2 linked regions of the Lonchura striata genome follow. The protein of the gene in region 2 interacts with the protein of the main gene of each other region in a pairwise test. Links are inferred from orthologs where the notes say so. Each region holds a gene or a part of one and is shown on either strand. Other genes may lie near its edges.

Region 1 (3,748 bases), on a different chromosome or scaffold from region 2:
AAAATTCACGTATGTGTAACAACAATTCAGGTTCAATCCAATCCTGTTTTCCTGCTTTTCCCCAGCCCGAAGGAGGAGATGTGGATGGGTGACACACATCGTCCCTCTGCTCCCACCGGCACCCAACTCTTCCCACCCTCCGCAAGAACTTACAGCCACTGTCTGACAAGTTTAATGCTTCAGCTGCTCATCCCCACCCTCACACTGGGGAATTCGTGTGATTAACATTAGGCAGAAGCGATCAGCATTTTTTAAAAAGTGAGCGTTAACAGCGACACATCAGAAATGCCAACGTAGATCCGAGTTGCTGCCTTTAGTATTAATAGTAAATTTTAATCGCTGACCTCTTCCTACAACGTAATTCGAAGCTTCAAAGCTTACTAGGAGCGGAATCACCCCGACACAGAACGCACAAGTTTAGTTCTTTGAGCGGCCAGCGCTCGGGGCGCACGGACGGACCGCGGCGCTGAGCCGGGACGGGGCTCGGCAGGCGGGAGCCGCCGGCAGGCAGACGGGCTCTGGGAGCCCAGGGCGGGCTGGGAAGGGCTGCCCGGCCGCAGGGACCCGCGGGACAGCGGGGCCGGGCCCCGGGGCACGGCACCGCCGCGCTTCCTTCGCCCGAGCGCAACTCCGCCGGGGCAAGGGCTGCGGGCGCCGGGGAGAGAGCGCGTCCCCGCGCCGCCGCCCGCAGGAGCCCGCCGAGCTCCGGACGGGCTCCGGGCTTGCCGGCAGCTCCTCGCCGCTCATCGCACGTCGGACGAGCGGCTCCGATCCCCAGCGCCTCCTCTCCCGCGGCAGCGGCGCACCCGTCCCTCCTTCCGCCCCTCCGGGGACCCCCGCACTCCGGGGCTCCTCCGGGTGTAAGAGACGAGCCGGAGCCGCCCGCTTTGTTCGGCCCCGCCGAGGGCCGGGCGCACTCACCGGCACTGCCGCCGCCGCCGCGCCCGCTGCCCGGCGGTGCTGCCGCCGCTCCGCGCTCCGCCGCGGCTCTGCCGCGCAGGGCGGGCTGCGCTCGGCTCCCGCGAGCCCCGCTCCGCCCGGCCGCTGTCCCCGCCCCGGCCCGCCCCCGCTCCGCTCGGCATTGTGGGGCTTGTGGTCGCGGAGGGCGGACTACGAGCCCCAGGGCCCCGCGCGCGGTTCCGGACAACGCCTGGTGTGTGGTAACACCGCGGGTCTTCCTCCTCCTCCTCCTCCTCCTGCTGCTGCTGCTGCTCCTCGCGGGCGCTTCCGGCGCGGCGGCGGCGGCGAAGCCCCTCGGGAGCGGCGGGGGCTCGGCGGGCCGGGGCAGGTGAGGTGCCGAGCCCTGCCCTGCCCGGCTCCGGCCGCGGGGCCCGCCGCGCCCCGCGGGGCTGCGAGAGCGGCGGCCGGGCGGAGGGAGCGGCCGAGGGCGGCCCGGCCGTGCGGGGAAGGTGCGCGGCTGTCCCGGCCGGGCGGCGACTCCTTCCTCCGGCCCCGCGGCAGCGCCCGCGCTTGTCCTTCCCCCCGCCCTTCCCGCGGGGCCGCGGCCTGGCCCCGCTCCGCTCTTCCCGGCCTGGTGCTGGTTCGCTCGGCCCGGGCGGGCAGGCGCGGGCCCGGATGTGTTTTATTTTTGTGGGAATTATTTTTAGCTCGTCCTCCCGGAGCGGAGAGCTGTCAGGAGGCTGCGGCGGGCAGGGAGAAAGGGCGCCTCGGCTCCTTTCGCCTTCCTGCGCCAGGGGAGGTGGAGGTTGAACATTAGGGGGGAATTATTCACAGCAGGGGTGATTAGACAGCGGAATGGGATGCCCTGGGAGGTGGTAACACCGCTCCTGGAGGTGTTTAAGGAGAGGCTGGACGTGGCACTCGGTGCCATGGTCTGCTTGACAAGGTGGTGTTTGTTCAAAGGTCGCACTCGGTGATCTTGGATGTCTTTCCCAGCCTAATTGATTCTGTGATTCCTCCTCCGCAGGGGCTGTGCCCCCCTTGGGGACCGAGCAGTCAGGGCTGGGGTGTCCCATTAAGTTGCTCACTGAACTGGTGAGTTGGGTTGGGGTTTTTCCTGTAGCTCGCACATACTGGGTGGCTGAAACCTTGTGCTGTTCCTGTTATCAGAGGAACTAATTCTCCTCTGGTATTTGTTCGCACATTGGAATGTATTTTTGTCCCTTTGGAGCTGTGTCATACCTGTTTGTGTTTGGTAAAGTAATGGCTTCACTTTCACATTCCCAAGGATGTGAAAAAGAAAGAGAAATATTATGCTGTTGTGGTTATATATTACAGCATTCTTGACCTGTTTCAGTGACGCTGTATAACAGTTCTGGTGTTGCTGACTGCTGGAACTGGAGCACAGGCTGTAGGGTCTCATGTGAGACACAGACTGGCTGTATTAGGACAAATTAAAGCACTTCCATTTTGAAGTCCAGAAAAAAAAGCACAGACTGATTAGAAGCCTGACTTCATGCTAGGCTTGGTTTTTGTTTTTTAAGTTGATATGGTTCTAAAAATAGACATCTTGGATTTATCACAGGTCTGTGTCATTTCTGAATTAGTCATAGAACTGCTCTTACAGTAACCAAATGCATAAGCAGTTCTGCTTTGCCAGAGTGAATTTTACTGCAGGTGACTGTTACACGTGTGTGGAGATGTTTGAAAACTGCATTTCTGTTCTAGTGAGAGGCATTTGAAGACACTTTCATACTTCAATGCTGTTTGCTGGTGACATTCCTTTTATTAACTCTGCAGTGAAGCTATTTGGTGTAAGAATCAGTGGGATGTGGAATCAGTTCAGTAGGATGCCTTTTAATCTCTTGCTATTGTTGCTGATTTTAAAATACAGATTGTTATCCTAATACTTGATCTGTATGCTAATCCCAGTGAATCCACCCCTGCTCAGTTTTAAAAAGAAGGAAAGTAATTCTGTAACTGAAACACAAAGCTTTGAAGCTTTGTATCAAATAATCTGAGTTATACAATGGGAAATAATTGCAATTGATAATTAAAATACAGTGGCAGGTAAAGTAACATCTGACCAAAAAAAAAGAAAAAAAAAAAAAGATGTGTTGGTTAGGGCATTTTTTTTTTTTTTAATTCAGGTGACCATTAATGACAGAAACAGAATTGCCAAGACAGGTGTGTGATGTGTGTATAGTTAAAAGAGCATATTCTGCAATTTTTTTTTACTTCCATAAACTTTACAACATCAGTAGTAAATTACCTACACTCCCTCCTCCCATGCACATTGGTCTTACATTTTGATTCAAGCTCTGCCTCTGAATTCAGCTGGAATTTATGCTGTTATTTCCCTTCCCTCACTCTTTCTTCCTGGACTTGAATGGATTTTTCTGGTAACTCAGGGATCTCAGATCAGCTTAAAGCTGAAACCTGTTCTTGAATCCGCCCTGCAAAAAGTGGAGCAAACCTCTTGGCAGTAAGGTAGTCTTTTATATCAGGAATGGAGCCGTGATTTTTGCTAGAAGCCAACCACTGAAATAATAATATTTGTAATCCCTGCCTTGGGCCTTGTTCCTCTGTAGTACTTTTCTGAAAAAGAATATTAATGTCTAAGCACTTACCAGATCTAGGGTAGATGGAGCCTGGAGAAGGGAACAGAGACAACATCAGTGCAGAGGTAGATCTGCTGATGACAGAGCTGAAACCCTGCCAATTGATACCAAATGTTTCTGTTGGTTTAAAACTTGAAAAGTTGAAATCATGAGAGTCTGCTCTCTTTGCTTTAAGCACTGCTTCAGAAGGTTGTGTTACAAACACCCTCCTTTGATGGAAACCTCAC
Region 2 (3,748 bases):
GCATCAGGAGAAGGGGGAAGGCAACCTCACTGTGTTTGCTCTGAGTGGCCTCCTGGCTTAAAACAGAGCTTTTCGACTGGACATTTTTCCGCCCACCTCATTTTTTTTAGCCCACCTCATTAGCCCAGCAGCCATAAGAACAATGATAAAACACCACAGAGCTGGCCATGGGGTGACCTCCGGCCGGGCAGGACGATTAGGCCGGTCCGAGCACACACTGTGCACAGGGCTGCTCACAGCTGCAGATCCGCGCTGCAGGGCAGCCCTCAACTGTCTGCACCTCCTGCCTCCATCACCTTCCCTCACAACGTGGGGGTAGGTTAGCATGACAATCCTTTATTTACTGACCAGAAAGCCTTTGGAGAGTTTAGTGAAGGCTTTGTACTAAAACTTCCTGGCTCTTCAAGTCCATTTTCAGCTAAAACTAATGGTTTGCAGGAGAAAAATATTTAAAATGTGCCAAGGACCTGTTGCAGAGCTTTGCAGCACGCTAGCTCATAGATTGCAAATGATGCAGTCTTCACGTTACGACTTAGTTGTCTGCTCAAGATAAGAATGTCCAAAGCAGCTTTTATTCATTTCTATGTTGGCACATGACGTTTCTGCCCCTGTGTGTGCTGGCTCCCGCAGCGGCAGGCTGGGGCCAGGCGGCGCATCCGAGTCCCGGCTCCGGGCACGGGACCTGCCTGCCCCAGCCCGCTGCTGACCGGAGCTCGATCCCTGCGGAGGGTACGAGGGGAAGCACGGCAGGGCAGAGCAAGCCCTTGGTGATTTAAATCCAACACCCTCCTTGCACAGGGAAGGCGAGGATACAATCCCTGCAAGGCAGGGAGGCAACTGTATATCCGGCATTATTTAGAGTGGGAACAGAACGCCTACTCCATGCAGCAGCCAAACTTCATTTAAGTGCTTCCATGAGGCTTAACACCAATTAAAAAAAAAAAAAAACAACAAAAAAAAAAAAAAACAACAAAAAAAAAAAAACCCACAAAACCAAACAAGCAAACAAAACCAAACACCAACAACCACACCCTAAGGGTATCGAGAAGGCTTTGCTAGCTCTGCTTTGCACCCCCCACGCCCCCGCTGCGACACAGGCAATCTTAGTGCCAGTTCTCTCCCGGAGGTTGTTTCACAGTTTCCAGGTACATCGACATACCTTAAAGATCACACATGACCCAGGTGCTTGCCTAACTTAAACCTCTCCTCCTGTACAGGGAAATCTCTCTCAAATGGCTGTGGCAACAGAACATCTTTCATATCACTTCTGGAAACACCACGTTCAAATCAAAATGACTCCAGGAAAGTCGGCAGCTTTCAAAGGTAAATGTGAGGCGATGCCTGCAAATACACCTCAGAGCTGAGTTTCTCTTTAGAGAATCCCACAAAACAGTGGGGAATAAATGTCATTGCCAGGCAACATGCAACAGAGGAATTTCTGCCAAATCCCTCCAGCACTGTTTGTGATATGGGGAGATTTAATTTAAAGAATATGCAAATCCCAGCATGAATACACTGACAGGCTCGGGCATTGTTGTGGTCGCTGTGACTGTCCCGGAGGAAAGGAATTCTGTGGCACGTGTTCTTCCGCTTCTCCTTCTAACCCCGGCCAGAAACGGTGAGTCCTATCAGGTTTTTATCCAGCTTGCAGGTAAAGGGTTACAGATTATAGGAAGTATTAAATGCAAACTTTAAAGGATTTTATTTTCATCTAGAGTCACATGATGCCTTAATACCCAATGACACTAACTACAGTGTCTCATTAAGAGGTCATGCAAACTCCCAAGCTAAACAAGGCATTCTTACATATTTAACATTCAAATGCAGAAGCCAAGCTAAGCCATGGAAGATTGTAATCAGGAAAAGCTACACTTCCTGATCCACAGAAATGCTACAGGTAGGAAAAGTTCTTTTAAACTTTTAACATTGTGCTTTCTAGAGAAACTGTTTACAGGGTATATTTTGTAATGTCTTTTCTACCTTTCAAAACAATCTAAAATATTATACTGAAAATATCTGATCTCACTTGTTCCACCTGTTGTAGAGTCTGGATTGTTTTTACACTCAGAAATAAAGTTGGCTCAGTGAAAATCCAAAGACAACAATTTTTAAACCAAACCTATTTAAAAACTGATGTTTTAAAATATCTCTTAGTTATTGAAATGGTTAAGTTGGAGTATGTGGGGTAAAGGTGGAGTTAATATGTCTTTCATGTCTGAAAGGAAGGGATTCAGAACTCTTCTAACTTCCTTATATCATGAATTGCACATTGTTTCAGTCACACCAATCCCACTGTGTTTTAACATATTTGACATCCTCAATGAACTTACATGATTTCTAAATTCCTCTTCTAGAATTTGGTACATTTAAAAATAAAATCTTACAAGCAAATGAAAGACAGATGGGGAGTACTACAGTGTTCCATAAAAGGAGAATAAAATTGCAAAATACAGAGTAAGAGGAAAGTCAGTTAAAAGCAGTTTATTTTAAATTGAGAAGTTAAATTGCATTAAAGCATATCAATTTTCACATGGCACAATAAAGTTTCACTGACAATTACTGGCAATGTTGCAGGAGTTAATATTTTTTACTTGCACTGAAGGAGTTTTCCAGTCTACAGCATTAGCATTTTTATCACAAAGATCTTTTTCTCATCCCAATTTGTAATTGTTTTCAGACAGTATTCTAAATACTCCATTTTTAATACCTCTATAGGAATTTAAAGACTGCATTCTAGGGGGTTACAGAATCCAAATTTACTGAAGATCTCTAGTGCATCACAGGATTGTCACAGCCTAACAATTCCCACTGCTTAAAAGCAGCAAGTGTTGTTTATTGTTTTCTTTCTACAATGGTTGGGTGTTGATTGCTGGTAATGTTATTTTTCCACAGTTCATTCTATAAAATACATCTCTTTTTCTTGTTTCCACATAATGCTAGAAAATACCAAAAGAAGTGGAGAATAATACCTGAAGCAACTTGCTTCAGATAAGCTCTCAACTTTCTTTGGGAAAAGAAAGGGGGTTGTCTTTACCAGTATTTAAAATAAATTTGAGTCAAACAAGTTTACCAGTGGCACTTCAAAAAATTGTCATTCACTTTCAGGTTGCCCATCTTGAAACATAGTAGGTCTCATGCTGAGGAGGGCTAGGACCTGAGCACAGCCTAGATCAGCCTGAGCCAGGAAGTGTCTCTTTATCAAACTCGTTGTACCAACGTCCTGACAAGAGTAGCTCCCAACTGTGCCGATGGGAGTGCAGCAATAAACCACTACACTTTAAAAGAACTGCTCTGAGCTTACTATAACTGACTTCTGAGCCTATATTATTTACAAAAATCTATTTAGAAACTGTGGTAGATAAGGGGCTTATTTACTAAGCTACATTTATATCTCGGGAGAGGAACACTGTAGCACCCAGATCAACAGGAAACCACAGGCTTTCACTGAGAAGAGCATTGCATCCAAAACATGAAAAGCAGCCTGCCATGGCCAGTCTCTTCTAAAAAATGCTTTTACAAGTTGCATGTATGATGGTAAACCAGCTTAGTAACTCAGTAGTTAAATTTGTTGAACATTAATTACACAAAGTGTCTTTGTAGGGTGGAAGGTACAATGCATACTGAAGTTACTCTGTCACTGAAAAGAGTGGCCATTGAATGAGAGAGAGACTTCCTTAACTCCTTTCCTAAAGAAAGGAATTCAAGTGAGGCACTTGCTATCAAGCACTCTAGTAGGTTTTTTTTATGT

Evidence for each region.
Region 1: the proteins of PGCKA1 (region 2) and PDCD10 interact in binary tests that used the Homo sapiens proteins (3 or more experiments, as listed by UniProt). The two-hybrid records come from large-scale screens. The link is inferred for Lonchura striata from reciprocal best matches to the Homo sapiens genes PGCKA1 and PDCD10.

Annotation. Positions count from the first base shown.
Region 1 is NC_134612.1:23,939,781-23,943,528, forward strand, and holds the start of PDCD10 (programmed cell death protein 10), read left to right. Parts: upstream 1-1,087; 5' UTR 1,088-1,153; intron 1,154-1,159; exon of another isoform or gene 1,160-1,288; intron 1,289-3,748. UniProt on the Homo sapiens protein: Promotes cell proliferation. Modulates apoptotic pathways. Increases mitogen-activated protein kinase activity and STK26 activity. Important for cell migration, and for normal structure and assembly of the Golgi complex.
Region 2 is NC_134606.1:22,248,764-22,252,511, forward strand, and holds the start of PGCKA1 (PDCD10 and GCKIII kinases-associated protein 1), read left to right. Parts: upstream 1-1,490; 5' UTR 1,491-1,618; intron 1,619-1,780; exon of another isoform or gene 1,781-1,897; intron 1,898-3,748. UniProt on the Homo sapiens protein: Acts as a tumor suppressor. Acts as a tumor suppressor for colorectal cancer cell proliferation by targeting KEAP1/USP17/ELK1/CDK6 axis.